Arabidopsis thaliana: one gene and its partners. The protein of the gene in region 1 interacts with the protein of each later gene in a pairwise test. Each region holds a gene or a part of one and is shown in the gene's direction. Other genes may lie near its edges. The genes, in order: AT2G36930, ERF14, NAC095 and AT3G49160.

Region 1 (8,262 bases):
TCTTGGACCTCTCCCATTCTTGGTTGAAGATAAGGATATATTTTTAAGGATTTTTATTTTTTGTATTTAATAGGACGAAGAATTGTTTGAACGAGAGTAAGTGGAGGCAAATGTGTGTATTTATAGAAGAAGAAGGAATGCGTGAAGGTTATTATTTTACTATATTATCGATACTGATTTTTTACTGAATATTATATGGTTTGATATTACATGTTCATTTCCGTATGTGTGTATTTGTTGGGGGCTGAGGTCAGCGAGAGTGGGCGTTTGACGCCGGTTTGACACAAGTGATGGTACGAGACACGAAGGCACCAAGTTTCTGAACAACATTACTTTAATCATCCGTGGATAATATTAAAAACAAAAATTGTTTGTGACGCAAATAGTTGATCAAGTTTAATGATTTCTTAAAGGTAACATTGCTTTTGAAAACAAAAAGAGCATCATTTCTCAGCTTTGACTACTTGATGACTTGAGTCTAGATTAGCAGAATCTTATATCAGTTTAAGGTAAAAATACATTCGACCAATTGTCACAATTCAAAGAATATACATCCTATACCTTATCAGAAACAAACTTTAGTTAGAAGATTTCATGGCCTTAAATACGAAATCAAATCATTTTATGAAGTCCGGTAATTCGTTTATTATTACAAGTTCATATAGGAAGAAAAGTGATGTTTTAATCAAATCATTTTTGTATTTTTGAATCACATCATTTTTGAAATTTTATCAATAAAAAAGAATTTGTAAAGAGATTAAAGATAAAGATAGATTCTTTTTCTTCTGATAAATGTGTATTGGTTAAAGTCATGATTGTGCAAATTGCATAGTCTTTTCTCATTGTAAGTGAAGTTGATGGAACCTCCTCTTCTCTTCTCTTTTATGTTTTATATTATTTAAAAAATTCATTTTAAGAAGTGATTTACTACAATTGATTCAAAAAAAAATCTTCTAACAGATTTCCCAAAAAGTTTTAGATATTTTGTTGTATTTTTAGGAAAAGAAACCAAAATTTATGATATTAAAATACCACATGTTATATTATATGATCCAATAAACGCATATTAAGATCAGATCAAAACTTTAAAATACAAGCTATACGAGAAGTCGCACATGGTTTTAATCTGTCAAGTAGTTTGACCGATTAATATATTTGATACTAGTACATAGAAGAATTCGAGACATGTGTGTGTAATGTACATATATTACTAAATTAACATCAACAAAAATGTGTATCATATATCTGAACAATTTTTTAAAAAATTGTATATGTTTTCGAGTATCAAGAATGTAATTTCACGTTTCGTTGTAATACACTATTCGTATCACTATCACCTACTGGCATACACTACTTTACATAATTCGTTCAGCACCAATAGCTTATATAATTATTTTTTAAATTCTTGCATAAATCAAAAGAATTTTGCTCTCCTAAAGAGCACAATTAGTGATTTTAATTAAATGATTACTTTGGTTTTGTTAGTTTCAGCTTCATGGAAACAGCCAAGAACCGCCTATCTACAAAAAACATGGGCTGCGGTATAGAGATAGAGACAAGAGGAATTGCAATATTAACTCACTGAGTTTTTACTTTTCTTTGAATGCTAACATATTGGGTTCGCTGTGTGAAAATTGAATTTTATCTGAAAATCTTTCAACTGCATAAACAGTAAAAGGATAAGAAAAGTTAAAAAAAAAAAATGTCCCAAGGGTTGCGTAATTGCGTTTCGTTCCTCCTTTCACCGGTCCATTTTGTCAACATCATGTTTCATTGTGTTTTGTTGATTTTTTTTGGTCATATGGTCCTATGAGTGACGTAATACATGAGGTGGACACATATTATTATATACACATGAAATATAGAGTTTGATTGAGAACTTTCTTGTCTATTATCTAAAATCTTTCGTAAAGTTAACGATCACAATGACCACAAACTTCAACGTACGTAAGTTTGTGTTTGTATTTTGAAAATCGATGTTTGGATCTTTTGAAACGTTTTGTTCAGTAATTTGGAAGTTTAGGGTAGAAATGGTCACTTATTATATGTAGCTAAATACGATTTCAACACATACAAACTACAAAGATTTGTTTTCGTGTTCCACAGTGTAACACGTCAGGCTGACTTGGATAATTTTAACTAACTTTACCAAGGTTAATATAAAACATAATCACTAATTGCAACATAAATAGACCATTTTAATTTCAGGTTGCAATTAGAGATTATGGTATACACAGCCACACAAAATCAAGAAAAATATGGCAACAGAAAATCGTCTCGTTTCAACCCTTTAAGTAGTTTCATCCATCCATATGGTGCCATTTTAAGTACACATGCAAGTCACCATTTTTCCTCATATTTTTTTGGCAAGTCTCATTGCTCGCCTCTCGTTGTAGCTTACAAAAATGACCATTCAATATGGTTATAAACCATCTTCATGCGACTGGCAAAAAAAAAAAAAAAAAAAAACCATCTTCATGCATGTCAGTTTTTTGTTGCTAGAAAGTTCGCCGTACATATTTGTCTCTCATGTAAAGGTGAAAATGGCTGTAACATGGATTAAACTATTAAAGATTCATTTTATGAAATATAATTTCCATTCATTTTGCTAGGAAATAATGAGGAAAGAACAAATTAAAAGAAATTTGTGTTCATCACAAAACGATAGCAATGTTTACGGAATGGAACCTAAAAGTAAACTACAGTTAGAAAGTGAAAGAAAATAAGATAATCAAAATGATATACAGTAACTTGGTCTTAGGAGTCTAAAGAGTAAAATCTATCTGATAATTAAGACAACATGAAAAAGATGGGCTATAGAAACGTTTTGAAATCAAGTTTAGTGGGGGCAGAGACAAAGTAGAACCAACTCATCAAGAACTCAATTTTAAACATCTAAATGGATCTCCATGCAACATTATTACACTAATAAATAATATGAAAAGTTTGGATTTGGTACCGGTCTGTTTCACTATCATTGTTACAATTATTGTATTCCTCGGCAGGAGCACCTTAGTTTATTAGAACAATTAGACCCCATTGACGAACCAATATGGTGTAGAAGTATCTGGAAAGAAAAAAGGAACGTCCCACATTTCAAACAAATCTTGCTAACCACGTATTATCTAGCTGGAGGAATGAGAATGACACATTGTCCTTGCTCTAGATGTAAATCCACATAACATAAGTAGGATCGGTTCTATTAAAACATTAATTGGAAAGCATTTCAAACTCGGGATAGTAAGTGTGGTGGAGACATGACGTATTGGTGACAAAAAAAATTATAGAGAGAAGAAACAAGCTTCAAACCCTCCCCAAGACAACAAAACCATCATTGTGGGGAGCATTAAGAGTATGCAACGCAAAGAGGCCTTTCATTCCCTTGCTCTCTCCACTTCTAAGAATTTATTGGTTTCTTGTTATACTAATAAATTAATGGAACCCTAAAAACAAGGTTATGAGATTTATCAGTAAACCTACGCTTCTGTCACTAATTCGGTCCAAGTACATTGCTAGAACTCTGTGACTTATCTTACAATGCTATTTCAGAATAATTTCAGACTAGATCTTAATTGGTTCCGTATGTATTACTGATTTCCAAATCATTAATTATTAATGGGCCTATCTAAGCCTGTTTAATAAATGGGCCTTGCGTCAAAGTCTCCATCACTGAAACCGCCCTTTTTAGGTTAATCAATACTTTATAACCGAAACTGATATTTTTTCTAGGGTTTCCTCTTCCGCATTCGTCGTCTTCAGCTCCTCCTACACAGTTTCTTCTCTGAATCGTAAGTTTTGAATTAATCTGCAAATTCGTTTAGATTCTTATCAATTAGTCACTAATTTTTCAATTGATGATTCGATCTCAGTACTTAGGAAGCTAAAATGGGTAGATGTCCGACTAGAAAAGTGAAGAAGAGGAGATTATCTCACAAAACAGCTCGCCGTGACAAATTCGAAGTCAAAGGCGATGACTTGGTTTACACAGAGTTGCGTAAACCGGAGACGGAGATTAAGCCGTTACAGCTTGACGAGGATTTGCCTGGAATGGGTCAATTCTACTGCTTACACTGCGAGTAAGAGAGATTCTATGATTACTCTATTGACGATTCTTTTGGTTTATGAAACTTTTTTTTAGCAAATACATTATCTTTGAATTACTCTATATGACCCATTTGTTTGTTTTACCTTGATATGTTTTAGTCGATACTTCTCCAACGTATCAGTGAGGGATGATCATTTCAAGACTAAGAAACACAAGAAGCGGTATGTGGATTCTTCTCCTTCCTTGGCCTTGGTTTCTATTTTGTTTTGTGTTCTTGGAACTGTGTTTGGTTCTTGTGCTCGTTTACTTTCTTGCTTGCAATGTTAAAGCTATTTCTCTTCACTTCTGTGTACCTAAAGATGTTTTAGCATTTGTAATTTGATTACCTTTGTATGATTATACATGTCTGTTGCAGTGTTGCTCTGTACTCAAGACTTATTATATGTGTTTTGTCCACTTGGATTGCAGTGTGAATATGATGATGGGACAAGCGCCACACTCGCAACTCGATGCAGATTTAGCCGGGGGAATGGGGATGCCGGACAATGGCCCAAAGCTGATGTCTAATTTGGTATTCACAGAGTTGCGTAAACCAGAGACGGAGGATTTACCTGGAATGGGTCAATTCAACTGCTTACTCTGCCAGTAAGATTATATGTGCAAAAAGACAATCTTTGAATTACTCTAGATTTCCATGTTTGTGTGAACATTTGTTTGTATTTGATTGACCTTGTCTCTCTACCTTGATATTTTTCAGTCGGAACTTCTCCAATGCATCAGTGATGGATTATCATTTCAAGACTAAGAAACACAAAAAGCGGTATGTGGATTCTTCTTCCTTGGTCTTGGTTTCTATCTTGTTTTGATCTTGGAACTGTGTTTGGTTCTTGTGCTCGTCTACTTTGAATTCATCTTGCTGGCAATGTTAAAGCTATTTCTCGTCACTGGCGTAGCTAAAAATGTTTTAGCACTTGTAACTTGATTACCTCTGTATGATTATATTATTGATCTATGCATGTCTGTTGCTCTGTACTCAGACTTAATATCTTTCTATTGTCCATTTGGATTTTTGTGTGATTGCAGTGTGAAGAAGATAGAGCGACCAGCGCCACACTCGCAACTCGATGCAGATTTAGCTGGTGGAATGGGAATGCCAGACAATGGTCCAAAGCTGATGTCTGCCTGAGTTTTTACAGTTATTTTCCTTATTTAGTTAATGGAACCCGAAATTTTGTTGTAAAACTATAATCTCCTAAATTAATGATACAGGTTTTTTGTCTGTTGCCAAGTATCTATCATGCAGTTACTGGTTTAGCTTCACTTAGAAGTTTAAATCTGATAAATCATATATTGTTTGTGTTGGTTGCATAAAAAACTTAACCATATAAGCCATACCAATCGTTGTTTTGACAAAATAGAAAGAACAAAACACTAGCTCTCTCAGCTGCTGATATGCGTTTGTAATTGAGATCACATTATGCAGACCTTGTTCTCTTCCGGGGAACTATTGCCTTTCCACGAGCAATCACGCCAAAGTGAAGCCTAGAAGCAGAAGAATCCCATAAGAGTCCTATATCGTCTCTTTCTTTCAAACTTCTCCTTTTGGATAAAATCTTCCAGCCAGTCACCCGTTAGAACATAGGTATATTGTACTGCCAGACGCAGCTCATGCATTGTGCTCGTGTCGTTGTCCTATACCTTAACAATGAGTCCGCTTTTGCAAATCAGCTTCAGGCAGATGTCCTCGAATCTGCTGTTCGAAGAAGCTTCTGGGCAGACGAAGTTGGCCATAAGTAGGGTTAACATTATGCTCGGTCAGTCTCTTCTTGATGGTCCATTGAGGTGCGTTGTTGACAAGTCTAGGGATAGGCATCATCGTAATCTCTATTCCATCTCTTGCTACCTTCAATATGGATTCAATGCTCCCAAAACAACGAAGAGAAATGTTACTTGGGTCTCCCAAAGTGTCAGAATTGTTTGTGCCATGTTCTTCACCTGAAACGGTAAAAGAACATAACATCGACTCTGTTGATAAAAAGGCACAACCACAAGAACCTCCTCCGAAATGGAAAGGATTTAGCAGGTTTTCAGTGTTCATGGTGATGTCATTACTTTCGAAGTAGTTTTGGTTTTTCGAGAATGGACCATGTCGACTGTTAAAGGCTTCTTTGTCTCTGTTCATCGGAGAAACAGAGGAGCAAGACGTTTCAAACGGTTCTTGGCTCATAATTTGCTTCTCTGTTACCTTGGATGACAAGAAAGACAAATCTTGAGGGCGCTCTCGTGGTTCTTGACTCGTACGAGCTCGATTCTTTTCCGATGGAGATGTACAATCGTCTGAGAATGACATTCTCGTTTCGCGATTTCTTCTTCGTCTAAGAGAGTTATCGTTATAACGATTTCACAGAGATACTGTATGAGGGACTAATGAGACCGCAAGTGATGATATATATATATATATATATATATATATATATATATATATATATATATATATATATATTATTCGCAAAGGCTAATCCAAAATGTTGGCAAGGATTCAAATAAAAGAGTGATAACATTTTGAGAAAACCCCGCCGCTAAGGCATCCACCAAGAAATTCTAAATTAAGTGTTACACAGACAAGAGACACTCAAAGTGATCGGGAAAAGTATGCAGGCCCTCTAGTGTTTTGTTTCCAAGCCCATAACGGAGCCTAAATTCATCATCCGCAACACCTTGATAAATGACTCTTCTAACGCTGTTCCTCTTTGGATTAGGAATAGGCGTAATAGACTTGAATATCAAACGGATCGAGGTGCAAATCTCATCTTGATCTATACCATTTCTCTGCTTGCGCATGTTTTATCTTCAGAGCTTTTCTTATGTCCCACTCCCAGTATCCATCTGTTGCATATCTTTTCATTATTTTTAATTTGCATTTTCACGGTGTTCACAAAAATATAATCTAATCTTACAAAAAAAATCTTGCGTTGATTTGTAAAAGTTATAAATGTAGTTCAAGTTCCAGTATCCATGCTACTTTACATAAAAAAAAAATAAGAGTAAAAAAACCTTGGTGACATTGTTAAACTTTTATTAATAGAAAGTGGGGAATTCCAGTACTGTAGCTTAAATTATTGGCCTTCTATGAATTTCTCAATTAGTGAACGACATGTGCCGAGAGGAGCTAGTGCTTCTTCTTCTCCACCACTATAATTTCCAAGTTTGTTCATAATTAAACACAAATTTATTTGCATTCAACAGCTAAAACAAAGTAGTCATCATCATCATGGTGTGTGTCCCATATGCATATATGTGTGTGTGGTCGCACGCGTGTGTTGCACAAAGAAACGAAGTCAAGAATTGTTTTGTTCATAAAAAGTTATATAAACACAAAAGAAATGTTGTCTTTTCTTTCTTTTTTTCATTATTGTTTTAGCTTTGGGTCTCATCATCTCATTCAATGTCCTTTTTGGACCCATCTTCTTTTTCTCATCTTCTGTTTTCTCATCTTCATAATTTTGTTCCCCACGTATGTTCGTGTGTCTATACATCTAAAGCATTCTTTTTGACAATATTGTCATAGTTAATTATTTATATGCTTACATTACTAATCATGATCTAGTATAAAAGCATGATGTACACACAATAGATTTTAAAATAGACCCACAACATTCGAGACCCATCACCCATCTAACCAATACAATTAAAAACCTTAAAAGATTACATTTTCATCATATACCATAATATTTCTTTTAGAACGGATCTCATGATTGAAAAGTTAGGCTTATCCTGAAATCTAGAACAAGACCAAACCAATATATATGGTAACAAGTGCCTCGATGATTATGAGATACATACCTCTCATCATCACCTTCTTCACTTCACTAGAAAGGCAGAGGCTCATAGATTGATATGGCATATAAATGGATATTACAGAGGTGAAAAATTAGATTAATTATGATAATACACAATAATAATACTATACCATCAAATCTGAAACGTAGTTCCAAAAATAAGTAACCCCAAAATCAAAACAGAAAGAAAAAAAGAGAAAATGATGAGTTCGTAGAGTTTTTTATCAGAAACATCTTCTGGTGTTTGTTGTTTTTTACTCTCCTTCTTTTTTCTTCTATATGACCAAAGTAGTAAGTACTAAGCATCATCTTCCTTAACCCTAGAACTTGAACCTGACGTCATACCAATCACTTGTGTATGCGTAAATCTTTGCAACT
Region 2 (7,367 bases), on another chromosome or scaffold:
TTTTATTTAAACATTTTTTGTAGTACTTATGGTGAGGAAAACAATAAGGAAAAGCTTACTTATATTCAAGTGGAGTAATTTAATTGACATTTTGAGTTGGATCTTCTGATGATAGTGAAAGTTTTGTTTGTCCATGTAGATTACGTTTATATTAAAGTCGTATGTAGTATAATGATGATATAATTGGATTCGCTAATACAGTATAGTGGTCATTTTTCAATAATTAGAATCTGTGAACTCCAGCTAACCACACTTGTCGGTTAATTAAATTGATATGTTTAGACAGACTATATATTTTGTGAAGGATCCTTTGAAAATGTAATAAATTTATCTTATTCAGAAGAATATCTGCAAGTAATTTGCTCTAAACTATGGTTCAAAATAGATAATATGATAGATATCGAAGATCTAGTTATGATTCGAAACGGTCCAAGAAAGATCCCCGAAAAAGACACAAGGTTAGTAAGACTTATCCTTTCTCTGTCTAATCCCGTCAAAATAGAAATAAAAGAAAAGTCAAATCCACCGCAGAAATAGTTCAAAGTTTTCGTTTTGGTTTTCATCTTTTATTAGTTTAAATATATAAGAAATGAGATGAGATGTTAAAAAAAACAAAAAACAAAACAACAACTGGTAAACAGAAATAAAAAATGATAAAGAAGGACAATGTTTCCATACTCACTAGTCTCTATCGTGTATTTATGTTTGACGAGTTTGGCTCACGACAGAATAGAACATAATAATAGGTCCGGTGAGAAGTATAGTTTCGTTTTATATTTGAACCTTTTTCTCTTATCAATAATGTATTGTCTTTAGCAAAACAATTGTGACTATTTTTGTTAGTTGTTTGAGTAATTTTGGGTGTACGTATTTGTGTATTATTTATCATCAAAGTGTATATAATCGAATTTTAGATGGACTTATGTTCTATAATACGTTAGAGGATGTATAAATACACATCTTTAACACAAAAAGATATATAAATACACATCGACTTATGGCGTTCTTAGTTTTGTCCTAACATAATAAAAACGAAAACGTGCCCACGACGGAGACAACCCTTAGTGGAAAGTAATTTGTTGTTTTTGCATTATTTTTATTTTTATCCAAACAACTAATATTCATAAGTGGCTCCCGATGAAAATCCGTAATCACGATTGTCAAAAGAAAAAAAAAATATAGTGGGAGAAATCACAAATCGACAAAATTAGATTCAGATCCATGTTTACAAATTTTTTTAATTTTTTTTTTTGTTGAAGTGTTGCATCAGTTAAACCTAAAAATCGACAAAATCACAATTGATGCTTCGGCAGTAATTACAAATAAACAAATACTACAACCAGGGCAGAGCAGCAGAAGAATATTTCATATAGAACTTAGTGACATTGTATTACTTAAATTTAAACTTTCTTAAATCACCATTAAAAACAGTTGATTCATGAAACTTGTGAAAAACAACTCATCAGTAGTTTTCACATGGACTGACAACAGCTGTGAAAGCTTTTGGTTCAATTTTGGGAGGATTTTACTAGAATCCAATTATTTGTACAATTCAAAACTAATATGAAAAAAGAAATCTAGGCATCTCATTAATATAGTAGAATTTTGTTTCCGCATTAACAATTGACTTTGACTATAGACTACTCTTTTAAGAATGAGGTCCTGAGGATCATCATCATGCGCCACGTCGACGACTCAGGTCAACACAGCAACGGTGAGATGGATCAGCATTCAGCAGCACGTGATGCTTGGTCGGTCACGTGTGTGCGTCAGACCATCATCGATACACGTCGCTCCGAGATATGAACTCGATCTCTATAATTTTCTTTGTTTTGTTTTGATGTTCGAGATTCTATTAGTTGCATTGATCAGGATCGTCTTCTAGCCCTACGCTACACTATAAAAACATACTTAACTGGAAATAAATTACTAGAAATTCCAAAACTTATGCATTGATCCGATGGTTTTTGGTTTGGCTAAATACAAGAGATTAATATCTAACTGAGTGTTACTGTATATAATAATGTAGATCTCATAACAAGAAATTGTAAATAAATTTCAAAAGAAAATTAATTGGCTTTTAAATTTTATTATCTCAAACTAAAGGTTGACTTTTACTTTACCATTTAAAGAAACCAATCTGGGGTCAACGTTTTGAACCATTGATATGTGTGCGAGTCAAAACATCCTATAATTTAATGAGACACAATTTACAAAAAACAATTTTTTTAACTTAAATTATCTAGTTAATTAATTTCTTAAATTTTAATCAATTTTTGGTTTTATGTGTATGTCTAAGAAATAACTATGTAATCTCTGTTTTCATTTTAATAAAATAAAGCAAGATGTTACAAAAATAAAATTAATTTCTTTAGTGTAAAATTGAATAATGTGATGTAATTTGTTCTATCGTCTGTTCTGTTTCCATAATTTTTTTTATTTTTTTTGAACAACCATAAATAAATGCTGATGACAACAAAAAAAAAAGATAAAAAAATGCTTTACCAGAAAAGAGAACTGTAAAAAAAAATGCTTTCACTTGTTTCACTTTCTCTTTCTCCATTCGTTGACAGGAAAAAAAACAATTATGTTTCGCCATTCTTCCATTAGTTTTTCTAGACCCATTTTGGGCAGCTGCGTGGACCATATGTGGGTCACGAGTGAACTTGGGCTGGGCCATCATATATTCAGTGTGCAAAGATTATGTCAATCTATTAAAATGAAAATAAACTGTGTCAATTTTAAAATATATTTAAAATGAAACTAGTGTATGTCATCTTGAAAATAATAATGTGTAGCATTAATATTAACCATACATAATATTGTATGAATATCTTTGAGTTCATTAAAGTTATTTTTGTTCTCAAATTAAAAGAATGAAAGTTAAAAGGTACTTAAACTATAAATTTCTTATTTATAGTGCTAATTATAAAAATATAGTTAATAAATTCTGTTCCATTGGAACTCCGCTGTAATTGATCGAAGATTATCCAAAAAATTGGTCAACGTATTATCGATTTTGGTAAAAGAAATAGATTAACCCATAAATCCTTGATATTCTATAACCTTTAGTTAAAAGCTTCATCTATATGTTAGGGTTCTTGTTCTGAAATAAACCTTTTACTATAGATTCTATGTTATTCAATTGGTAGGTTCATGCACGAAGACATAAAAAGACTTTAGTTCTAGCTATATGTTGTCCCCAACCTCGAGAGCCCTTACTTACACTAGTCGTAATGGCGACAACAATATAGATTCTGATTCTATATCAATCGAAACCACACAATCTTCTTTTTCCCAGAGATTATTAATTTACAATAGAATAGACGTTAATTCCAATCTTCTTAAATTTAATTCTTTTTATTGTTGAATAAACGTAGATTCATCTCTCCTTTCAATTCAAGAAAGACGTCGGAAATGTATATTGAAGATAAGAAAAAAAATGAACAATTGAATAATAATAATTATTTTCAATCAGGCTCTATTTTAAATTTCTTTTTCAAATATAAAAGAATCCTTAGATTTGTTTTTTGTTTTTTGGAACAAGGAAGTTTTGAAGTACAGTAGGTTTTCGATGATATTTGTTACCGTCTACCGAGAATTTTCAACAAAATCAGTTTTCAGTTGTTGTTTTTTTGTCGCCCAGTTTTCGGTTGTTTTGGTTTGTTTGTTCATAGACTCGGTTTATCCAAAATAAAACATTAATGCGACAGTATTTTATTTTTTGGTCGCATTTATGCGACAGTTTAAGCATTTTTAAAAAAAATATACAGGCACTACAACAATTGTCATAACTTACCAAAAAAATATTTGTCGTGGACCGATTCAAAGTCAAAGGCAAGTCAGATTTAAACGACATAATAAAATCGTAATCATTATTTTAATGTGATTGAAAGGGAAAGGAACTCAGATATGATAGAAGAACAAAGAAGGAAAGGGAACTCCAAAACTTTGTTTTCTAGTCTAAAAAAAAAGACTTCGAATATGTACGGACACCTATAAGATCGAATCCAATATTAGGAGCAGCCAAAAAGGGCCAATTAGTGTATTTTAAAATATATATTTTTAAAAAGGTAACAAAAAGAAAACTTGAAGAAGTAGGTACATTGTGACCATGATGATGAATTTATGATCAACTAGGTACATTGGACATGTCGTTATCCTTATTTCAACTGACTTAACGTTAATGACTTATTAGAAAAGCCCACGTGACGATTAGGCTAATAGGTTTATAAAAGTCAATTTCGACAGAGTATAGTGTCAGTAAAATATCTGAGATTTACGGGTGAAAGATACTATTTATGGAATGTTCACTTATACGAAGTCCTTCCGTATAAGTTTCTTATTGACTGTGACATCTATTGTTATATTTATGGAACTTTAGCGATTAATTTTGTGGACCTAGCTAACTAAAGAAAGTTATATTTGTTGGCTCAACGAAGTCGTATATTTAAGTTAAAAGATTCAGATTCTAGAGTATGTAAGGTATTATAGGCTGTTGATTCTTGTTTTTCAGTTAACAACTATATACTGTAGTGTGTATAAGGCAATTACAAATTACTTGATTCTAAGCTGACTACTTTTTTTGGTTTTGTATATTTTAGAGGACTAAATGGTGTGATTATATTTAATGAAAATATGATATCTTATTAATGCTTTTAAATACAAACAAAAATGTAGATTATCGTACATGGGAAGCGTGATTTCCAAAGCATAAAATCAAATTGCGAATACCTTTTGTATTTGCGTTCACAACTTACAAACATTTCTTACTAATATAAAAACTTTTATTTGTTCAATGCATATACAAAGTTACAAACGCAACCAACATTTGATTCGATCAAATTTCTAGAGATTTCAGGTACCGTACGTTGGCAAAGATGGAGAAAGTAGTTCAAATGTCATAAAAAATTTTAGCGATTAATATTTAGCTCAATTTTTTATACGACATTTTGAAAAACAAAATCTTATATTTTCTTTTAAGGTAGAATAAGTAATGAATTTCCAGCTTTATGTAGAATATATGCATAATTTGAAAACAATTCAAGGCCGATTCAATGTACTTAGTAAACGTTTTTGTTCTTCTTCGTTAGTGGTATGTTCGTAAACTTGATGTTAAGAAAAGTTAATTGATCTAATCTACTGCAAATTATTCAATAAAAATTAATTGATGTGAAAATATATCTAGAAGGAAAAAATTCTCCAAAATGTAAAGTCATGTCAAGAACTTAGACCCCCACACGTAGATTCTGTATTAAACAAAAAATTTATTATGGTCCAACGAAAGCTTCTGAGTCGGTTTTGAGAGTCAACCCACGTGGGCACTAACGAAGTCCCAAGTCAAACATATTCCTATGGGTCCTCCAATCAACTCTTTTATTCAGTACACATCATATTTTTGGTAACATAAAATTCCATTGCTGTTGCCAAAAAATACCATACAAATATAGTTTTCTATAATAATTAGTTCAAGAGACTGTCTAATTTTATCATAAATTTCCTACTTTTTGCAAAAGTTCAACTTGAGTTAAACCTTATAAGCTCTATTTAGATATAAATATTTAATAATTTAGATATAATGTAAAATATAAACGCAAAATATAATAATTTCAAGGATATAACAAAAAATTGTTTTATATTTTTGTTGCACATGATTCTTACCATATTATTAATGTTGTACATTTCCGAAACCCCATACATGTATATTATTATAGCCATAAAAAATTGTACATATATGTAAAATACAAAATTCTCAAAATAAAATCTATTATAAAAAAATGAAAAAAGAAAAAGAAAAAGAAAATTTATTTTATGAGAAACATCTATGTTGAAGGAGAAAAAAGGTCTAAAGAACATCTACATAATTTTCATAAGTGGAGTTTTTCGAACTTCGAATATTAGGTTGATGGACCCACTTGTTTCCTTGCCTATAAATTCCACAAATCAAATCTCATTTAATCCATGCAAAATTAAAACACACACAAAGACAAAAAAAAAAAAACAGACGCTACATCTTGTGTCCGTTTCCAACTCTTAGAACATCCAATTCTTCTTATTATTCTTTGTCACTTGGTCTCTCTTCTGACGCACAACAGTATATACACATACACAGATATATGGATCAAGGAGGTCGTAGCAGTGGTAGTGGAGGAGGAGGAGCCGAGCAAGGGAAGTACCGTGGAGTAAGGAGACGACCTTGGGGTAAATACGCCGCGGAAATAAGAGATTCGAGGAAGCACGGAGAGCGTGTGTGGCTAGGGACATTCGACACTGCGGAAGACGCGGCTCGAGCCTATGACCGAGCCGCCTATTCAATGAGAGGCAAAGCTGCCATTCTCAACTTCCCTCACGAGTATAACATGGGAACCGGATCCTCATCCACTGCGGCTAATTCTTCTTCCTCGTCGCAGCAAGTTTTTGAGTTTGAGTACTTGGACGATAGCGTTTTGGATGAACTTCTTGAATATGGAGAGAACTATAACAAGACTCATAATATCAACATGGGCAAGAGGCAATAAAGGGAATACAATCGGTATTAACTGAAAGTTATGTGAAAGACCATTTTCAGTTATAACAAATAAAATAAAATCCCAAGCGTACAAAGCTGTTTCAATTATTGGCATGAAGTGTAATTGTCAATCGATTTCTGTAACGAATAAGATTCTTTAAGCGGGTCATCTTAGTTTCTTGAACTTCAAAGTTCAAACGGTTCCTTGTGCAATTAGTTTTGAGAAAATATTAATGAAAATAATGATTATGTGAAACATATTCTTTTATGTTTTGTGACGTGTAATTATGATTTGATATATTTGTTACCTTCTTGTGATTCATCTAAACGAGCTTAAACGTTTTAAAATAAATCAAAGTAAATTTATAAGATATCAATATAACCTATTACATCGCTCTAATTAATATAACTACCAGCATGTACAAGTACATTGTGTTATACGTTTGAAATATGGAATTCATCTTACCATTGCTTGTTATTGCTCTTCCATTCATGAATTATACTGGAAAGGCATATGTAGACGCATATATACATGTACATTTTGAAAATAGTTTTTATAAGCAACTGATGAGTTTAGTAACTTGTGGGGACAATAATTCATTGAGTTGATAGATGAGTTTTTAAAGACAAAATATAAATACGTGGAGAAAGAAAATCACCCACACCACACGGCCATGAAGATGAGATGAGAGACTTCGGCGTTAATTCCATGCTTCTATCAGGAATCAGGATCACCATAGAAGCTAGAACCATATACTTTAAAGGCATTAATTTTTGTTTTCCGTCCCAAGATAAAAATATTAATATAACAAAAAAAAACATTTTAGTTGGAAAATTATATAGAAGTTTTTAATTAAAA
Region 3 (7,388 bases), on another chromosome or scaffold:
GTCTTCATGGATCTGGTGTTTGTGTGTTATGGTTCAGGGTATTGTTAATGAGAGTAGAGTGACGGATCTGAGTCTGTCTGAGTTTCTCCTTTATGGACCTCAGAAGGAAACTGAGAAAATAGGGAAGACACTGATGAGGAAATCTAAAGAAGGGAAGGTTTTGAAATGGGACGTTGATTTGGATGATTCTCTTTGTACGTTGCAAGAAGCTTTTGAACAAGTTGAACAAACTCTTGGGTTCAATATCGAGTTGAAATTTGATGATCAGACCGTCTATGAACGAGAGTTTCTTGTCCATATCCTGAGATCAGTACTACAGGTATGCTCAATACTAGTTCCGTATTCTTCCTTCTTTTTCTTGTTGGAGTATGAATATTTATTAGGGTCCAATAGAACCATTTGTTAAAAGTGCTCACAATTAATTTGATCTCTTGAGACCTTTTTGTATCAATGCTGTTGACCTAAAACTGCTGGTCCAAGTTGGATCTAGATTGATTGAGACTTGTTAACTTATTATTTTCTGTTTTTTCCATTCTGTGACAAAACTACAGGTGGTCTCTAATTATGCTAAAGACAGACCAGTAATCTTCTCAAGTTTCCAACCAGATGCAGCTAAGCTTGTTAGGGAACTGCAGAGCACTTACCCTGTATGTTCCATTCTCGCTCTTTTCTTTGATAAATACCAAAAAAAACTTCTTGACTTCTTCATGGAGAAATCACTTAAGATTTAACAATGTCATATGAACTGAACCCAGGTTTTCTTTCTGACTGATGCGGGAAACGAGATTCACAATGACGAGAGAAGAAACTCGCTCGAAGAAGCCATTCAAGTTTGCTTGGAAGGAGGTCTTCAAGGTATTGTTTCAGAGGTAAAAGGAGTGTTCAGGAACCCAGCAGCCATTAGCAAGATCAAAGAATCTAACCTCTCTCTCCTCACATACGGCAAACTCAAGTAAACCTTCTTCACTTTTCTTAATAAAGTCTAAAGACCTTAAGTTTGTTTCCTTATTGCTGTTGGATCCGATCACTGATTAATCAGATTTTAATCTTATTTCAAATATTGTGTTGCAGCAATGTCGGAGAGGCAGTGTACATGCAATATGTGATGGGGATCGATGGAGTGATTGTAGATTTTGTTGAGGAGATTATAGAGTCCACGACACGCATGATGATAAGACCACCACCATCATCATCACCATTACCATCACCTTCCAAGGATGATGATGTTGCCATTACAAGACCTGAGTTTTCACAGAAGGAGATTTCTTTTCTTCTCAAGCTTCTCTCTCAGTTGATACAACATTGATATCTCTGTTTTTTCGTTTTCTTTTATCCCAAGTTTCTTTTTAGGGTTTGATTTTCTTATTGATTTAATTATTATTCTGGGTGTATTACCCAATAGTTGGAATTGTAAATAATTATAAATTTATTTCTTTTTACAAGGATTAACTTTCTCAAAAGAAAATCAGCTATTTTTTAATTAATCGAAAAATTTAGAAAATATATACGTGATTATCTTTTATATAAGCTTTTAAGATATGTCACCCAAAACAAGCTAAGCCCAAGATGGATCTAGACTTTGAAACTCTCATTTTAGGGCAAAAAAATGGTTTTAAGGTTGTGTTATGGATTATCTTTTATATAAGCTTAGTTATATCACTAGGTGACCAATTGTAATGTGCTTTCGGTATAGAGTCAGAGTGATATGACGGGATACGTAGTTTGTAAGCGAGAAGGTGTTTTTCTTAGTAAAGCTTTTCTTATCCGCAAGAAGATTGACTTCAAACATACAGCTTATCTCTTGTGAGAGGTCAAGCTTTATAATGGAGTGAGATATGTATTTTCAGAAGTCTTAAGTATGGACATAAGATATTAGTTTCACATATTTCAATTTTTGAAAGTTTGCAAGTAAAAACCACAAAACAAACGAGTCTGTAGGCACGACCGCACGAGTGCTAAAGTCCGCTGCATATTGATAGTTCGAAGACGGTGTTTTGTCGATATTATTCACTATTTACGTGTCGCGGATTGATTAGCGACTAAAGAATTAGCCTTAACATATGTTTTGTTGAAATATATTTTGAGTCAAGATTATTCTTAATTCCCAATAGAATTTTGAAGTATTTGTCTTTGTTCCAACCTTTAAAAGGATGCTTGAAGTTCCAATCAAACTACAACTCATGCTCTCTCCCTCTTCTGCCTTAACTATGAAGAAAACAAAAGACATTCGTTTTTATTTTTCTCTTCAGTATCAAATTCAAGAATCCAATTCCAATAGCCACAACATAAATTCTCTTTGATATAATAATCTAAAATTAGAAACTGATTCACGTCTCTAAATTAAAATTTCTGATCTATTCAAGTAACTGTTCTTATATGAGTTTTGTTTCCATACATGCTTTGATTTAAACGTTTTCTACTACAATTATATCTACCTCTCAACACTGGAATCCAATTTTCTTTATACGGTTTATATCAAGTATTGATTGTTTTTGTCCAAAACAAAAACCAAGTATTAATTGATATAGCTATAGTACACTCAAATTTTAATTTGCTCACTATAATTCTGATATTACTTTGAATAGAAATTCAAAATTATCTAATCACAAAGTTCAGTTTATTTATAATATGGAAGCTTTGAGCAAAATAATGTAAATATAATTATAAAAAATAATTAGAAATAATTTAGGACAACTGAAAAAAATATGGATTTCGGTCTATAAGTTTCTATTATATATCAAAGGAAGTACTTTTTTTTTTTTGATAAACCCTAAATATCAAAAGTACTTTTCGTTTTTGCCAAATATGTTTAATTACTTATTTTCGAGATGTTATCTTCCATTTTTTTCAGTATCATTGTAATCAATGATAATTATAACAAAATCACGATATGAAAAAAAATATTCCATTAATTGATGTAAAAAAAAAAGTCAAATATCATAACATTAAAATGTAACTTTCCCCTTATTTACTAACTAAAGCTCATGCATGCGTGGCGTGATATTATCTATTCAATTCCTTTTCTAAAAAGGTTTTCCTAGTCCTATTAGGATTAGGAAACAGAGGTTGCTATATAAATACTTGATTCGCTCGCGTTTATCTCAGTCACAAAATCCCTACTTCTTCGTAACAACTTACTAATATATAGGCAGCTTGGAGCTTATTCATTGGACGACGAACTCTTTTTCTTCATCTCTTTCTGTTTTCTTTTTCTCTTCTTTTGTTCTGAGAATAATGGGCCCAACATACAGAGCTTTGCCAGTAGGTATGAGGTTTCGTCCTTCAGATTTGGAGTTGGCTGTTTACTTTTTGATCAAGAAAGCTTTAGGACTTCCCATGAAAGCTCTTACTGTGCCCGACGAATGTAATGATATCTTCTCAACACATCCTCGCGACTTGCCTGGTGAGAATACTTTCTCCGATCCTTTTGACAAAACAGATTTGATAGAGTTTTTGAGTTTCTTGATTTAACTTTGGCTACTTCTTTCTTGCGTGACAAGCTTTATTTTGTGAACTTGTTTTTGCTCTGTTCTTTCAGGCTATGGAAGCGAAGAGCATTGGTACTTCTACTGCAAGAAACCCAAGAATCAAGTTACTAGAACGAAATCTTATAACCTCTGGATACCAACGGGAGAAAAAACTGATGTGTTAGATCCAAAGAAGAATGGCGGCGAATTAGTCGGTATCAAGCATTCGTTTACTTTCATTGAGAACGAAGAAGAAGAAGAATCTGATAACAAGAACGGCGATGAAGAAGAACCTCCACAATGCAATTGGTTCTTGGATGAAATCAGCCTCCCATTGACAGTTGTGGATACTGATTGGACTCTGTGTCATATCTTTTACGAGAAGGTTAAACCTGAATTTGGTAATTTGCATATAGTCGAATCTGAATCCGAATCCGAAGAAGAAGAAGAAGATGAAAGTGTTGATAAGCCTGCAGAGAGTTTGGATAGTGTTAAAGAGAAAGATGGAACTGTTCTTCCTCCACCTCCTGCTACACCTTAGCTTCTTCATGATATAGTGTTTTACTGTTAGTGTTGGTGGATTGTAGATTCTCTCAAAACCTGTCAACGTCCAAATCTTTATTACCTCTAGTTGCATACCTATTGTTTTAAAGATGCTTATTTCACTTCAATATATCGGTTAGGTTTTTTTTCTTTTTCTTTCCACAATATATCGATTAGGTTATGTGGCTCGAGAGACTCACTTGCTCGCTGATACAAAAGTTCCAGAACAAAGAGATCATCCCTCATCTAATGGCTCATGTTAGCAATTGTCCGCCTACCTTGCTAAATTGCGCTCCTACACCTAAAGAAAACTATTGATATGAGTCGTAGTAATAATCAATCGATCTCTCTATTCCAATAATTGTTAGGAGGGTCATAATATATAGAAGAAGATAGATGATATATGTTATATAATATGATATATTGATATGTCCAAAAATCAAATTGTTCAAAAGCCTTAATGAAAAAGAGAAAGAGATGTTTGACCAGCTTAAAAACTTCCGGTCAAACACCTAAAAACCTTTTTTCCGCCTTTGTCATAAATCTTTGACTTTTTGACTTTTTCCCTCTCAACATCTCTTTTCGAGATTTCACCACGTGTCAAACCTCTCATCTGAACCGTTCATCTTACACGCGTGAGATTATCTCATTTTCTCCTCCTCCGTCTTTCTGCTGTTTCTTCGATCTGTTTCTTTGACCAGAAAAACAAAAGCTTCAAACTTTTTAGCTTCTTCTTCTTCCTTCAATGTCGTTGAACACATCCCACGATACTTGACAAAATATCTCACTCTTTCGTCTCTCTGTTTTCGACTCGCAAACCATCGAAGCGCCGATTAATCTTAGAGGAATTTCTTCGTGATTAGGGTTTTGTTTAGTTCTATCTGGAGATATGATGAAAGCTTCGTTTGGAAGGTTAAGAAGATTCGCATTACCCAAAGCCGATGCGATTGATATAGGAGAGCTTTTTCCCACTGCACAAATTGAAGGTCTTGCTCGAGCCGCCAAGGTAAATTTTCCCTCTTTTCACTGATCTTCTCTCATGATTCTCTGAGATTTAGTTTTTTTTTTCTTTTCAAAATCGTGAGTTATTGATCACAAGATTGTAACTTGGATGAGTTTTTGTGGATAAAAATTTCCGATCAAAAATCACACCCTAATTGGAAATTTCAGGACTTTTACAGTTATAGAAGTTTGTTCATTAATTTCTACTTTTATAGACTTATCTTATGGAGAAATTTGGAATTGGTATTTATATCAGTTATGGTAAGAAATTGATATTGTAACTGATGCTAGTTGTTGATTGGTTGAACTAGAACTGGAAGATACATTTTATGACCTAAGCTTATTACTCAATTGTTTTCAGGATATGCAAGATATGAGAGAGGGTTATGATAGATTACTCGAAGTAGCTGCTGCTATGGCTAATAGCGCATATGGTAAATAAGCATTCAACCTTTATGAATCTCCACTTCTATAGCTTCATGTATGAATTTGGAAGGTTGATGTTGTCAAACATTGTGACTGTAAAGTGTACGGTTGCTTCATATAAGATGGGGCTTGCTATACCCGAGCTTTATTGGATTGAATTAGCTTTCATTCATATTGTTTCTAGCGGAGGTCTTCGATAATATTATCATTTTGCGAAATCTTCATTTTTAGTGTCTCTAGAATTTCCCATTAAGTACTTTCTTAACCTTGTGAGAAACCTTTGTTGATTCATATAAGAACATCAGTATATTGTCAGACCTCATCATTTTTTTTTTTTCTTTTGTTCGGTATAATCAGAGTTCTCTGAATCATTGGGGGAAATGGGCTCATGCTTGGAGCAAATCGCGCCTCATAATGATCAAGAAAGTGGTAAGATTTTGGGTATTTAGCTATCATGGACGTTTGTTTGTCCTGTTTCCATGCTGTAACATTGTTTCTTCTGCAGGTGGAATTCTTCTAATGTTAGGTAAAGTTCAGTTTGAGCTTAAGAAACTCGTCGACACTTATGTAAGTTGTATGTTGCAACTTTGTACTTTTCATGAAGCAATATGTATAATTATGAACAAAACTGAGGTAGTTCTTGTTTCATTCTTTTTTTTCTCCTTCAGCGTTCTCAAATATTCAAGACCATTACACGACCTTCAGAGTCACTTCTCAGTGACCTTAGAACTGTTGAGGTATGCCCTAGCTTTGGTCTTTTACAGTCAGAGATTATTTAAAAGCCGGAAAAGTTCACGGTTTGAGCAAGATTTAAAGCTAAAGTGAACAAAAAAGCACAACCTTAATAAAGACCGCTGATTTTGTCGTATTTCCTTTTCTTTTCCTCTCAGGATATGAAGCAACAATGTGAAGAAAAGAGGTCAGTGACTTTCTGCAATGTAGTTTTTTATTCTCTCGGTTTTGATTTGATAAAATCTTGCCTTAACCTCTGACTCTTACTTACAGAGACGTTGTTAAGCACATGCTAATGGAGCATGTGAAAGACAAGGTACAAGTTAAAGGCACTAAAGGGGAGAGACTTATTCGCCGTCAGCTAGAGACTGCTCGCGATGAGCTACAAGATGAGGCGACTCTGTGCATTTTCCGATTGAAATCTCTCAAGGAAGGGCAAGCTCGAAGTCTCCTCACACAAGCAGCCCGCCACCACACTGCTCAGGTACCTTCTGAATAAAATTACTATTCTATGTAAGAAACCTTCCTGCAATTTCTCAATCAATGTCGCTTATACTTTCTTATTTTTGCATAGATGCATATGTTCTTTGCTGGTCTGAAATCGCTTGAGGCAGTAGAGCAACACGTCAGAATTGCTGCAGATAGACAACACATCGACTGTGTGCTCTCTGATCCCGGGAACGAAATGGATTGTAGTGAGGATAATGATGATGATGACCGACTTGTTAATAGAGATGGAGAACTCAGTTTTGACTACATAACAAGTGAGCAGAGAGTAGAAGTTATATCTACACCTCATGGATCGATGAAGGTAATTTGGATTTTAAATTGAACCTGAATTGGGAAAGAACAAATTTATTCGTTAAAAAGTAAGCTCATGTACTGCCATTTCTGTATAGATGGATGACACAGATCTCTCGTTTCAACGCCCTTCACCTGCAGGATCAGCAACAGTATGTTCTTTTCTTGATTTTTATGTCAGATTTAACATTTCATGTCTTGAGAACTCTCAGTTAGTCAACTGTATGAGAACTGCATTGGCGATTCTGTGTTGAAGTCTATTCTCTGATGCAGGTAAATGCAGACCCTAGAGAAGAGCACTCAGTTTCAAACCGTGATCGCAGAACGAGCAGCCATTCAGCACCTCTGTTTCCGGATAAGAAAGCTGATTTAGCAGATAGATCGATGAGGCAGATGACTCCATCTGCAAATGCTTAC
Region 4 (9,512 bases), on another chromosome or scaffold:
TTCTTGGGCTATTAGATCAGGGCTTGTGGATGATGTTGAATGTAGTTTAGTTGATATGTATGCGAAATGTTCTGCGGATGGTTCGGTAGATGATTGCAGGAAGGTGTTTGATAGAATGGAGGATCATAGTGTTATGTCGTGGACGGCATTGATCACTGGTTATATGAAAAACTGTAATCTCGCTACAGAGGCTATTAATCTCTTTAGTGAAATGATAACGCAAGGTCATGTTGAGCCAAATCATTTCACTTTCTCGAGTGCATTCAAGGCGTGTGGAAATCTTTCGGATCCACGGGTAGGTAAACAGGTTCTTGGTCAAGCTTTCAAAAGAGGGCTTGCTTCGAATAGCAGTGTTGCAAACTCGGTTATCAGCATGTTTGTTAAATCTGACAGGATGGAAGATGCTCAGAGAGCTTTTGAGTCACTTTCTGAGAAGAACTTGGTTTCGTATAATACATTTCTTGACGGAACATGCAGGAACTTGAATTTTGAGCAAGCATTTAAGCTTTTAAGTGAGATCACTGAGAGAGAATTAGGTGTTAGCGCTTTCACATTTGCTAGCTTGTTGAGTGGAGTTGCAAATGTTGGTTCAATAAGAAAAGGCGAGCAAATCCATTCTCAGGTGGTTAAACTCGGGCTCTCGTGCAATCAACCCGTCTGCAATGCTTTGATCTCTATGTATTCCAAATGTGGAAGCATTGACACAGCTTCCCGAGTCTTCAATTTTATGGAAAATCGTAATGTCATCTCGTGGACTTCAATGATCACAGGTTTCGCTAAACACGGATTCGCTATAAGGGTACTCGAAACATTCAACCAAATGATAGAAGAAGGGGTGAAGCCAAATGAGGTCACTTATGTTGCAATCTTATCGGCATGCAGCCATGTTGGTTTGGTCTCCGAAGGATGGAGACATTTCAATTCAATGTATGAAGACCACAAGATCAAACCTAAGATGGAACACTATGCTTGTATGGTTGATCTTCTATGTCGAGCCGGGCTTCTCACAGACGCATTTGAGTTCATTAACACAATGCCCTTCCAAGCCGATGTTTTAGTATGGCGTACGTTTCTTGGAGCTTGCAGAGTTCACAGTAACACAGAACTCGGAAAGTTGGCTGCGAGGAAGATCTTAGAACTTGATCCGAATGAGCCTGCAGCTTATATACAGCTCTCAAACATATACGCTTGTGCAGGTATCTATATAATTCAAACACAATCAGATAAAACTCTTTCTTCTACTGATCTACCTTGTGTGAAAGTGACACTTTGTTGAATATTTCTATGTAGGGAAATGGGAAGAATCTACGGAGATGAGGAGGAAGATGAAAGAGAGAAACTTGGTTAAAGAAGGAGGTTGCAGTTGGATAGAAGTGGGAGATAAAATTCATAAGTTCTACGTAGGTGATACAGCTCACCCGAATGCTCACCAAATATATGATGAATTGGATCGGTTAATTACAGAAATAAAACGCTGCGGATATGTTCCTGATACGGATCTTGTTCTTCACAAGCTAGAGGAGGAGAATGATGAGGCGGAGAAGGAGAGGTTACTATATCAGCACAGCGAGAAAATTGCGGTTGCGTTTGGGCTTATAAGCACGTCGAAATCTAGACCGGTTAGGGTGTTCAAGAACTTACGGGTCTGCGGAGATTGCCATAACGCGATGAAATATATATCGACAGTCTCTGGTAGAGAGATTGTGTTGAGGGATTTGAATCGTTTTCATCATTTTAAAGATGGGAAATGTTCTTGTAATGATTATTGGTGAATGGTGACTTTGAGATTTAGATACACAAATGAGGCTTTTCTATTCAATGTTATTTTAAATCTTGAGGATTTTGGGTTCAATGTGATCGTTCTTTTTAAAAATAAATAAAGAGAAGCATTCTAATTTATTTAAGTTATTACAGTTGAAGATGATTCAGACAAGTTTTAAGATACTAGTGGTATTAGCAATATCCGGTTTTCCGATGATGGAATCCCGTATCCAAAGCAATTTGGGATCAACAAGCAATAAGAGTATTGAATATTTGGCTTTGAATTGCCGGAAACACAGTGCGGTTTTGACGAATTTTGGAGCTATTGGAGATGGAAAACCCTCAAACACCAAAGCGTTTCGAGAAGCAATAAGTAAGCTTACTCCGTTGGCGGCTGACGGTGGAGTCCAACTCATTGTACCGCCGGGGAGTTGGCTCACCGGAAGTTTCAACCTCACAAGCCATTTTACTTTGTTTATCCAGCAAGGTGCAACTATTCTTGCTTCTCAGGTAATAAATATATCTAAGCTCAAAATTTTAGCTAGTATCGTACACCTATTTATGAATGCACTAAAAAATATCAACCATTCTATTTGAGATAAATAATCACATTTGGTTTTATTTCGTTTGTAACAAACAGGATGAGTCTGAATATCCTATGATTCCACCTTTGCCGTCATACGGAGATGCAAGGTTTACTGGTTTAGTATACGGAAGTAACCTAACCGATGTTGTTATCACCGGTAAGCACAACAAAACTTAAATCATTAAAATGGTTTGATGGATATATATATATGAGATTGAATCAAAATTATATATTTAGTTTATAAGATCAAATTTGTTGTTAGGTAACAAAAGAACGACTAATGGACAAGGGAAGTCATGGTGGTTGAAGTATCGAAGTGGCGGTTTCAAGTCGATATCAAGACCTTTGTTGATCGAAATCATCTTCTCCGAAAACTGAAGAGGTGACACTAATCAACACACAATCCGCTATCCGAATCAAAACCGCTATAGGACGTGGCGGTTACATCAAAGACATTTTCGCTAGGAGATTTACGATGAAGACGATGAAATACGTTTTCTGGATGACCGGTTCGTATAAGCTGCATCCCGTAGGCGGGTTTGATCCCAAGGCGTTGCCGGAGATTAGCAATATCCATTACCGTGACATGACCGCAGAAAACGTTACAATTTCGGCAAAGCTAGAAAGGATCAAGAATGGTCCATTTACGGGTTTATGCATGTCGAGTGTGACTATAGCTTTGTCGCCGGACCCGAAGAAGCTGCAGTGGAACTGCACGGATGTCTCCGGAGTTACTAGTAGGGTTACACCGGAGCCGTGCAGTTTGTTACCGGATAAGAGAACTACAATGGACTCAGACTGTGATTTTCCCACGGATAAGATTCCTATTGAGAGTGTTGTGTTGAACAAATGTTATGCTTAGAAATGTGTTTGTAACTTTGTACCGATTTATAGGTTTCATTATTCCCGTAACTAAAAGATTGAATGGTTTATGTTCATTCTTCAGTTTACAAATCCGCTAATAATTTTCACAAACTTTCTAAAAAACATCCAATAAATGAATCATAGTTTCAATAAAATGTAATTTAGAAATAATGTGTCAAATTTTACAAAATCTAATTAAGCAAACTTAGCCATTCTTATTTTTTTGTTCTTACATGGTTAAAAGTTATACATATATTTGAAATTTGAAATAGTCAGTTAAGTGTTTCATATATTCATAAACGACTTTGTCTAATTATAAAACTCTTTTACAATAGGAGCTACTTTCCCAAACTCTTTTAAAATTTACCAAACAATTTCCATTGTTGGAATAGATAAACCAAATTAATCAGTTTTCACGGAATTGGTTTGGTTAAACCGCATGGACCGGTCTTTTTTTTTCTATCTTTGGGTCTCTTGTCTGAATAGGTTTAGAAAAACAAAGCGACGTCGTTTTATAATGGGGACCTTTCAGCCTCATCCGTCCGTGTTACTAGATTCCCCGAGAAGATGAATCTGACACGCGCTCGCCACACTCCCTTTTTATCCTTAACCACAACTTTTTTTATTTCATTAAGAAAATTCTTCATCATTCTTTCTTCTGCTTCTTCTTCTTCTTCTTCGTTGAAAAATCTGTCTTCTCTTCTTCTTCTTCTTCTTCTTCTTCTTCTTCTCCTCAAGACGAGAGCGAAGACATTATCTGAACAAAGCGCTTCTCCATAACAAAGGTATTTCTCATGTTCTTGTCCTCTAGGGAATGAGTTTCGGTTGATTTTGATTCCTTCCAGATATTTTCTCAATTCCAGTAGCCTAGAAAACTTATTTGCTTAGATATGATTTGTTTCCTGGATTTTGATTTGTGGTAGGCTTGTTTTTGTCCTTTTCACGAACTTGGAATTTGTTTGTTTTTTTGTTTTCTTTCTTTGCGTTATACATGTTTCGTTTCTTGTCTTTGTGGTTATGCCTAGGTTTTAACCTCTGTGTCAATCTATAACAGTTTCTCCTTTTTCGTTTTGATTCTCAGGTGATTCAATTAGTCGATATGGTAGGACTTGATTCAAGCCACTTGTTGAGAGACAAGATCCTTTGCTTCTCCAGCAGGTCTCACATAAACAACCAACATAAGAAGACAAGTTATGCATTATCACTTAATCACATGAAACTTCCTATTCAGAGAACCTTAGCTTTTGCCTTAGCTCGCGGGAAAGGCGAAGCTGAAAGTTTCAGCAGATTGGAAGCCACCTTTGGTGATAATACCTCCACAGAATGTACCTGGAGTTTTGACTTTCCAGATTCTAAAGATGCTATGTCTCATCTCAAGTCAGAAGCAGACCTCTCTGGAAGCAATGGGGCCAATAATGTGGCTAGTGTTATCGAAAAACTGAATGCTCTTCGGTCACATCTCTTAGCAGCAGAGAAATGGAATGCTTCTCAACTACACTTATGTGACAGGTTTGTTAACCATTTTATATATAGTTTGCATTACTTATTTTTCGCCTAATTTCCTAGTACCGTCTGTTGCAGTAAGTATCTGGAATGTGCAACAAACTTAGTTCATTATATGGCTTTGAGATCTCTGGACATTGAGCAGCTCAACAGTCATCTAGCTTCTCTTGGTCTGTCAAGTTTAGACAACAACAATCTGGATGTTCTCGCCCACCTTAACGCCTCTATTAATCTTTTGATGAACGATCAAAACGCTGTGACGGAGTCTTGGACTAATGTATATCCCAAGGGAAAAAGTACTAAGAAGAATGATAAAGGGAGGGTATTATCATACAAAGAGTCATTACTTGGTAAACTTCGTGAGGGAAGAAGTACTCATATCATGGTAACTATTGGTGAAGAAGCAACTTTGAGTGAAACATTTATAACTGATATTCTTAAAGCTGGAACATCTGTTATCCGTATAAACTGTGCACATGGAGATCCAAGTATTTGGGGTGAGATCATCAAAAGAGTAAGAAGAACTTCTCAGATGTTAGAGATGCCATGTCGCGTTCATATGGATTTAGCAGGACCAAAACTCAGAACTGGTACCTTAAAACCTGGTCCGTGTGTGATGAAAATTTCACCAAAGAAAGATGCTTATGGAAATGTTGTTTCTCCTGCTTTGGTATGGCTCTGCCTCACAGGAACAGAACCTCCTGCTCATGTTTCCCCTGATGCTACTATATCGGTCCAAGGCCAAGATTTTCTTGCTGGTCTCCAAATTGGTGATTCTATAAGACTATGTGACGCTAGAGGGAGAAAGAGGAGACTTAAAATCTCAAAAGAGTTTCATGTTTTCAACAGTACCGGGTTTGTGGCTGAATGTTTCGACACTGCTTACATAGAAAGTGGAACTGAGTTAAGTGTTAAGGGAAAGAAAGGGAGACGTTTAGTTGGACGAGTAGTAGATGTTCCTCCCAAAGAATCTTTTGTAAGGCTAAAAGTTGGAGATTTACTAGTCATAACCCGAGAAGGATCGCTCGATGAACCATCTGTAACTGTTCCAGGAGCTCATAGGTTAACTTGTCCTTCCGGTTATTTGTTTGATTCAGTCAAGCCTGGTGAAACCATTGGTTTTGATGATGGAAAAATATGGGGAGTCATAAAAGGAACAAGTCCTTCAGAGGTAATTGTCTCCATAACTCATGCACGTCCAAAAGGTACAAAACTAGGATCAGAGAAGTCCATTAACATACCGCAGAGCGATATCCATTTCAAAGGCTTAACATCAAAAGATATTAAAGATCTTGATTATGTAGCTTCACATGCTGATATGGTTGGTATTTCTTTCATACGTGATGTCCATGATATAACCGTTCTTCGACAAGAGTTGAAGAAAAGAAAACTAGATGATCTTGGTATTGTTTTAAAGATTGAAACGAAAAGTGGATTCAAGAATTTGTCTTTGATTCTTTTAGAAGCAATGAAGTGTTCGAATCCTTTAGGAATTATGATAGCTAGAGGTGATCTTGCAGTGGAATGTGGATGGGAGAGATTGGCTAATATGCAGGAGGAGATTATAGCTATTTGTAAAGCTGCTCGTGTACCGGTGATTATGGCAACTCAGGTTCTTGAATCACTTGTGAAATCCGGAGTTCCAACTAGAGCTGAGATTACTGATGCTGCAAATGCAAAAAGGTAAAATATTTTGCATTAGACATGATCTTTGTAAGATTTGCAGTTTCTTTGTCTAATTTTGCATTTTGAAAATATGCAGGGCGAGCTGTGTGATGTTAAACAAAGGCAAGAATATCGTTGAAGCTGTTTCAATGTTGGATACTATTCTTCATACCAAGCTTATCTACAAGAAATCGGACTCTGAAAATCTCCATTGATCTGCTTGTAGTTTGCTTGGCCATTTATATTCGTATTGTTGTTTTATAAGAAAGAGATTTTAGGGGAAATGTACAATGTATTTAGGATATGATGAATGAATAGAGATCATAACATGGAAGGATTAAGCTTGTTGATTCTAGTTCTCCCATTATGATTCCGATTGATGATGGTGTTTCAAACAGTGAACAGTATAAATAGAAAGTAATGCCAATCACAAACAAGAACGGTGTTTTGGTTGGTTGAGACACAAAACTCATGTGTTTACGAAAGAACATTGTTTTATTACCATCCTCTTTGAAAACCATCTTTCGCATTCAATCATGAGAGGGATTGTCACTCCTCGAATTAGAAAGGTGGTAAAAACAATGGAAGCCCACCTGCAATCACAGAACATACAGAGATGATTGATATAAGACATGGTCATTTTTGGGTGTAAAAAAACACAAAAAAGTGATCCAACAATAACTCCAAGGATGACATGATTTAAAAGTTGACCAACACAAAAAAAAGAAGAAGATTTCTTACCAGTTTAAGCCTGTGAGTGAATGCACATTATGAACTATCTGCTGAACAAAATCTAATTGGATGGAGGAATCGATAGCAGCATCGGCAACTTCGATGACTGTATCTTGCTGCACTAAATCAGTAAGAGTTTCAGCAACATGATTCACATCGCCACTCTCATCTGAGCCTGAAATATGTGAAGTCGACATAGGCCGATAGGTAGAGACACCAAAAGGAGAGCATAGTGGGAAATGTGAAGGGCTTCTCATCATATGCTGCTGAGAGAGAATCATCGAACTGCTGAAGGATCTCTGATGAAGAAAAGAGCCGTAATGTGGCTTCTCTTCATGGACATCATCACGTTGAATGATACCGCTACAAGATGGTTGGTAGCAGCGAGCATTGAATAAGGATCTGAGAGACAAAGTGCGTCTCAAGTCCCTGTAAACAGTAAAAGATTAGTGAGATTGGTATTAGAACAAGCCAAAAAAATAAAAAATCTCATATTTAGTATCTTAAAAGCTTAGAGAAAAGAAAACGCTATAATAAAGCAACACTTCTTCTTCTCCACATTGCAAAACGCAGAACACAAAAAGCAGAGACTTAAAAATGAGAACTTTAGAGCCAGTGAGCACAAAAACGCAGAGCACAAAGAGGAGAGACTAAAAAACGAGAACTTTAGAGCCAATGGGCACACATAGAATCTCAAAGTATCATCATCATGATCAAACAAGCTGTAGAATGAAACAAAGAGACGAACCTGATCGAAATTTCTACACGGCGACGGAAGAACAGAGAGCAGAGTGGGAAAAAGTGAAAGTTAGGGTTTTTAGTGAGCAAACGAAATCGCTAAGCCTCGATTCGTGCTCATGCTTTCTCGGTGGGTAAGACAAAATGTACAATTTCATGACTCCTCCTACAAAATGCAGAAACGATTTCGCTCGCACTTAAGAAGACGACAAAATTGCGAGAGGACCAAAGATAAATTTAAATGTAACGATTTGGGGTTGTTTTGCAATATCAGAACAATTGGTTTGACATAAGCTTAAATTTTGAAGTTTTGAGAAAACATAAAGTATATAATATTCAACACAAAAGTGAAAATGCGTATTGAGAAGGCGAAAGAGTAATACACATATTACAGAACAAACCCCGTTTAGTAGATACCGAATAGATGATTCGTAGACACGTAGAAGTTAGACCTCGGGGATTATATAGACTGTGCATTTCGACGAGGTTACTAACATCTGAAGTTTGCTTATCACATCTTCATAAATTTGTGTATCGTAGAACAATTTCATTTCTTCAAGATTCGGCATTGTCTCCAGGAAATACATGACGAGCTCTATCTGCTTCTCCATGTCATCATAGTCATCACAAATTTCACCAAATTTCCATATCGTTAGAAACTGCACCGGACTTGATGATAGGCAACTAGGAATGCCACGTGAAGATTTGCATAGACACCCGTCAACATCCTCACATTTAATTGTATCGTTGTGATGGAGCCCCTGAATCGTAGAGTAACCAACTTCAAACTCAATTTTTGTTTACAAATTTGTGTAAGCAAATGCAATATATGAAAGGTTATGAGTTAGTACATCGAAGATAAGGCTTTCTAGATCTGGACAGTTTTTGAGTAGAACCGGCAATGACTCCCATCCTGCTTTTTGGTCAGTCTTAATAATTAAACAAACCAGGTTTTTGAATACCGGTATTTGTTCACAACAGAAAGTAAGTACCTGCAAGGCATGTAACACTAACTTGTTTGTCTTCTTTTTGTTTCAATGTAGCCAAAAAAGAAGAAGAAGGGATTACAATACAAACCTCAATGGTATTGGCAAATAATTCAAGGATCTGAACATTGCTTATTCCCAAAAGAAAATCTGTTGCATTACCGACCAAATGTTCATAGCTTGCATGTGTACGCTGATGAGATGTCATTTGAAGACAGATACTAGCGTAAACAAGTGAATCAAAATTCATATTTTTATACTTGTCTGCAACGCAATCATGGTATACAAAGTAGACAAGATTGGGTGTATCAAACGAAACACTCTCCGGATTTACGGCATGGACGTCTTCACAAAAGAACGTTAGCCTCTTGAGGGTTTTAGAAGATAGAGAGCGCTTCAAATAACCATCCCAACATATATTCATAATAAATAAATCCTCAAGAACATGACAACTAGTAATAAGCTTCACAAAGCCGTTATCACTGTGTCGTAACAAGACTTTATTAAGATATAGAGTCTTGAGGTTTGGAAGAAAAACATCTTCCACATCAATGAAGGCACCGTTTCCAGTTTCTATTCTCAGATGAACCAGTGCCTTGCTCACAAAGATATCTGGAGGCATGGTACCATTATCCCAATACACAATACAACGTAGATCAAGATCCGATACCCCGCGT

What was found.
Region 2: the proteins of AT2G36930 (region 1) and ERF14 interact in a two-hybrid assay, tested with the Arabidopsis thaliana proteins (one large-scale study listed by BioGRID).
Region 3: the proteins of AT2G36930 (region 1) and NAC095 interact in a two-hybrid assay, tested with the Arabidopsis thaliana proteins (one large-scale study listed by BioGRID).
Region 4: the proteins of AT2G36930 (region 1) and AT3G49160 interact in a two-hybrid assay, tested with the Arabidopsis thaliana proteins (one large-scale study listed by BioGRID).

What each region holds. Positions count from the first base shown.
Region 1 is NC_003071.7:15,506,971-15,515,232, reverse strand, and holds AT2G36930 (zinc finger (C2H2 type) family protein), read left to right. Parts: upstream 1-3,625; 5' UTR 3,626-3,788; intron 3,789-3,869; 5' UTR 3,870-3,885; coding exon 3,886-4,076; intron 4,077-4,203; coding exon 4,204-4,266; intron 4,267-4,513; coding exon 4,514-4,690; intron 4,691-4,802; coding exon 4,803-4,865; intron 4,866-5,128; coding exon 5,129-5,231; 3' UTR 5,232-5,335; downstream 5,336-8,262. Other genes in the region: AT2G36950 (Heavy metal transport/detoxification superfamily protein), read right to left, coding at 1-17; AT2G36920 (B3 domain protein), read right to left, coding at 5,745-6,395; ABCB1 (ATP binding cassette subfamily B1), read right to left, coding at 8,183-8,262.
Region 2 is NC_003070.9:1,169,061-1,176,427, forward strand, and holds ERF14 (Ethylene-responsive element binding factor 14), read left to right. Parts: upstream 1-5,972; 5' UTR 5,973-6,116; coding exon 6,117-6,518; 3' UTR 6,519-6,708; downstream 6,709-7,367.
Region 3 is NC_003076.8:16,442,530-16,449,917, forward strand, and holds NAC095 (NAC domain containing protein 95), read left to right. Parts: upstream 1-3,125; 5' UTR 3,126-3,234; coding exon 3,235-3,403; intron 3,404-3,538; coding exon 3,539-4,008; 3' UTR 4,009-4,144; downstream 4,145-7,388. Other genes in the region: GDPD2 (PLC-like phosphodiesterases superfamily protein), read left to right, coding at 38-319, 552-647, 756-952, 1,072-1,306; AT5G41100 (hydroxyproline-rich glycoprotein family protein), read left to right, coding at 4,900-5,016, 5,374-5,446, 5,796-5,867, 5,944-6,005, 6,107-6,175, 6,329-6,357, 6,444-6,654, 6,745-6,981 and 2 more.
Region 4 is NC_003074.8:18,219,214-18,228,725, reverse strand, and holds AT3G49160 (pyruvate kinase family protein), read left to right. Parts: upstream 1-3,820; 5' UTR 3,821-3,996; intron 3,997-4,292; 5' UTR 4,293-4,310; coding exon 4,311-4,720; intron 4,721-4,792; coding exon 4,793-6,397; intron 6,398-6,476; coding exon 6,477-6,594; 3' UTR 6,595-6,848; downstream 6,849-9,512. Other genes in the region: EMB2261 (Tetratricopeptide repeat (TPR)-like superfamily protein), read left to right, coding at 1-1,196, 1,291-1,772; AT3G49155 (F-box/LRR protein), read right to left, coding at 6,849-6,972, 7,121-7,392; AT3G49150 (F-box/FBD/LRR protein), read right to left, coding at 8,296-8,610, 8,701-8,762, 8,842-9,512.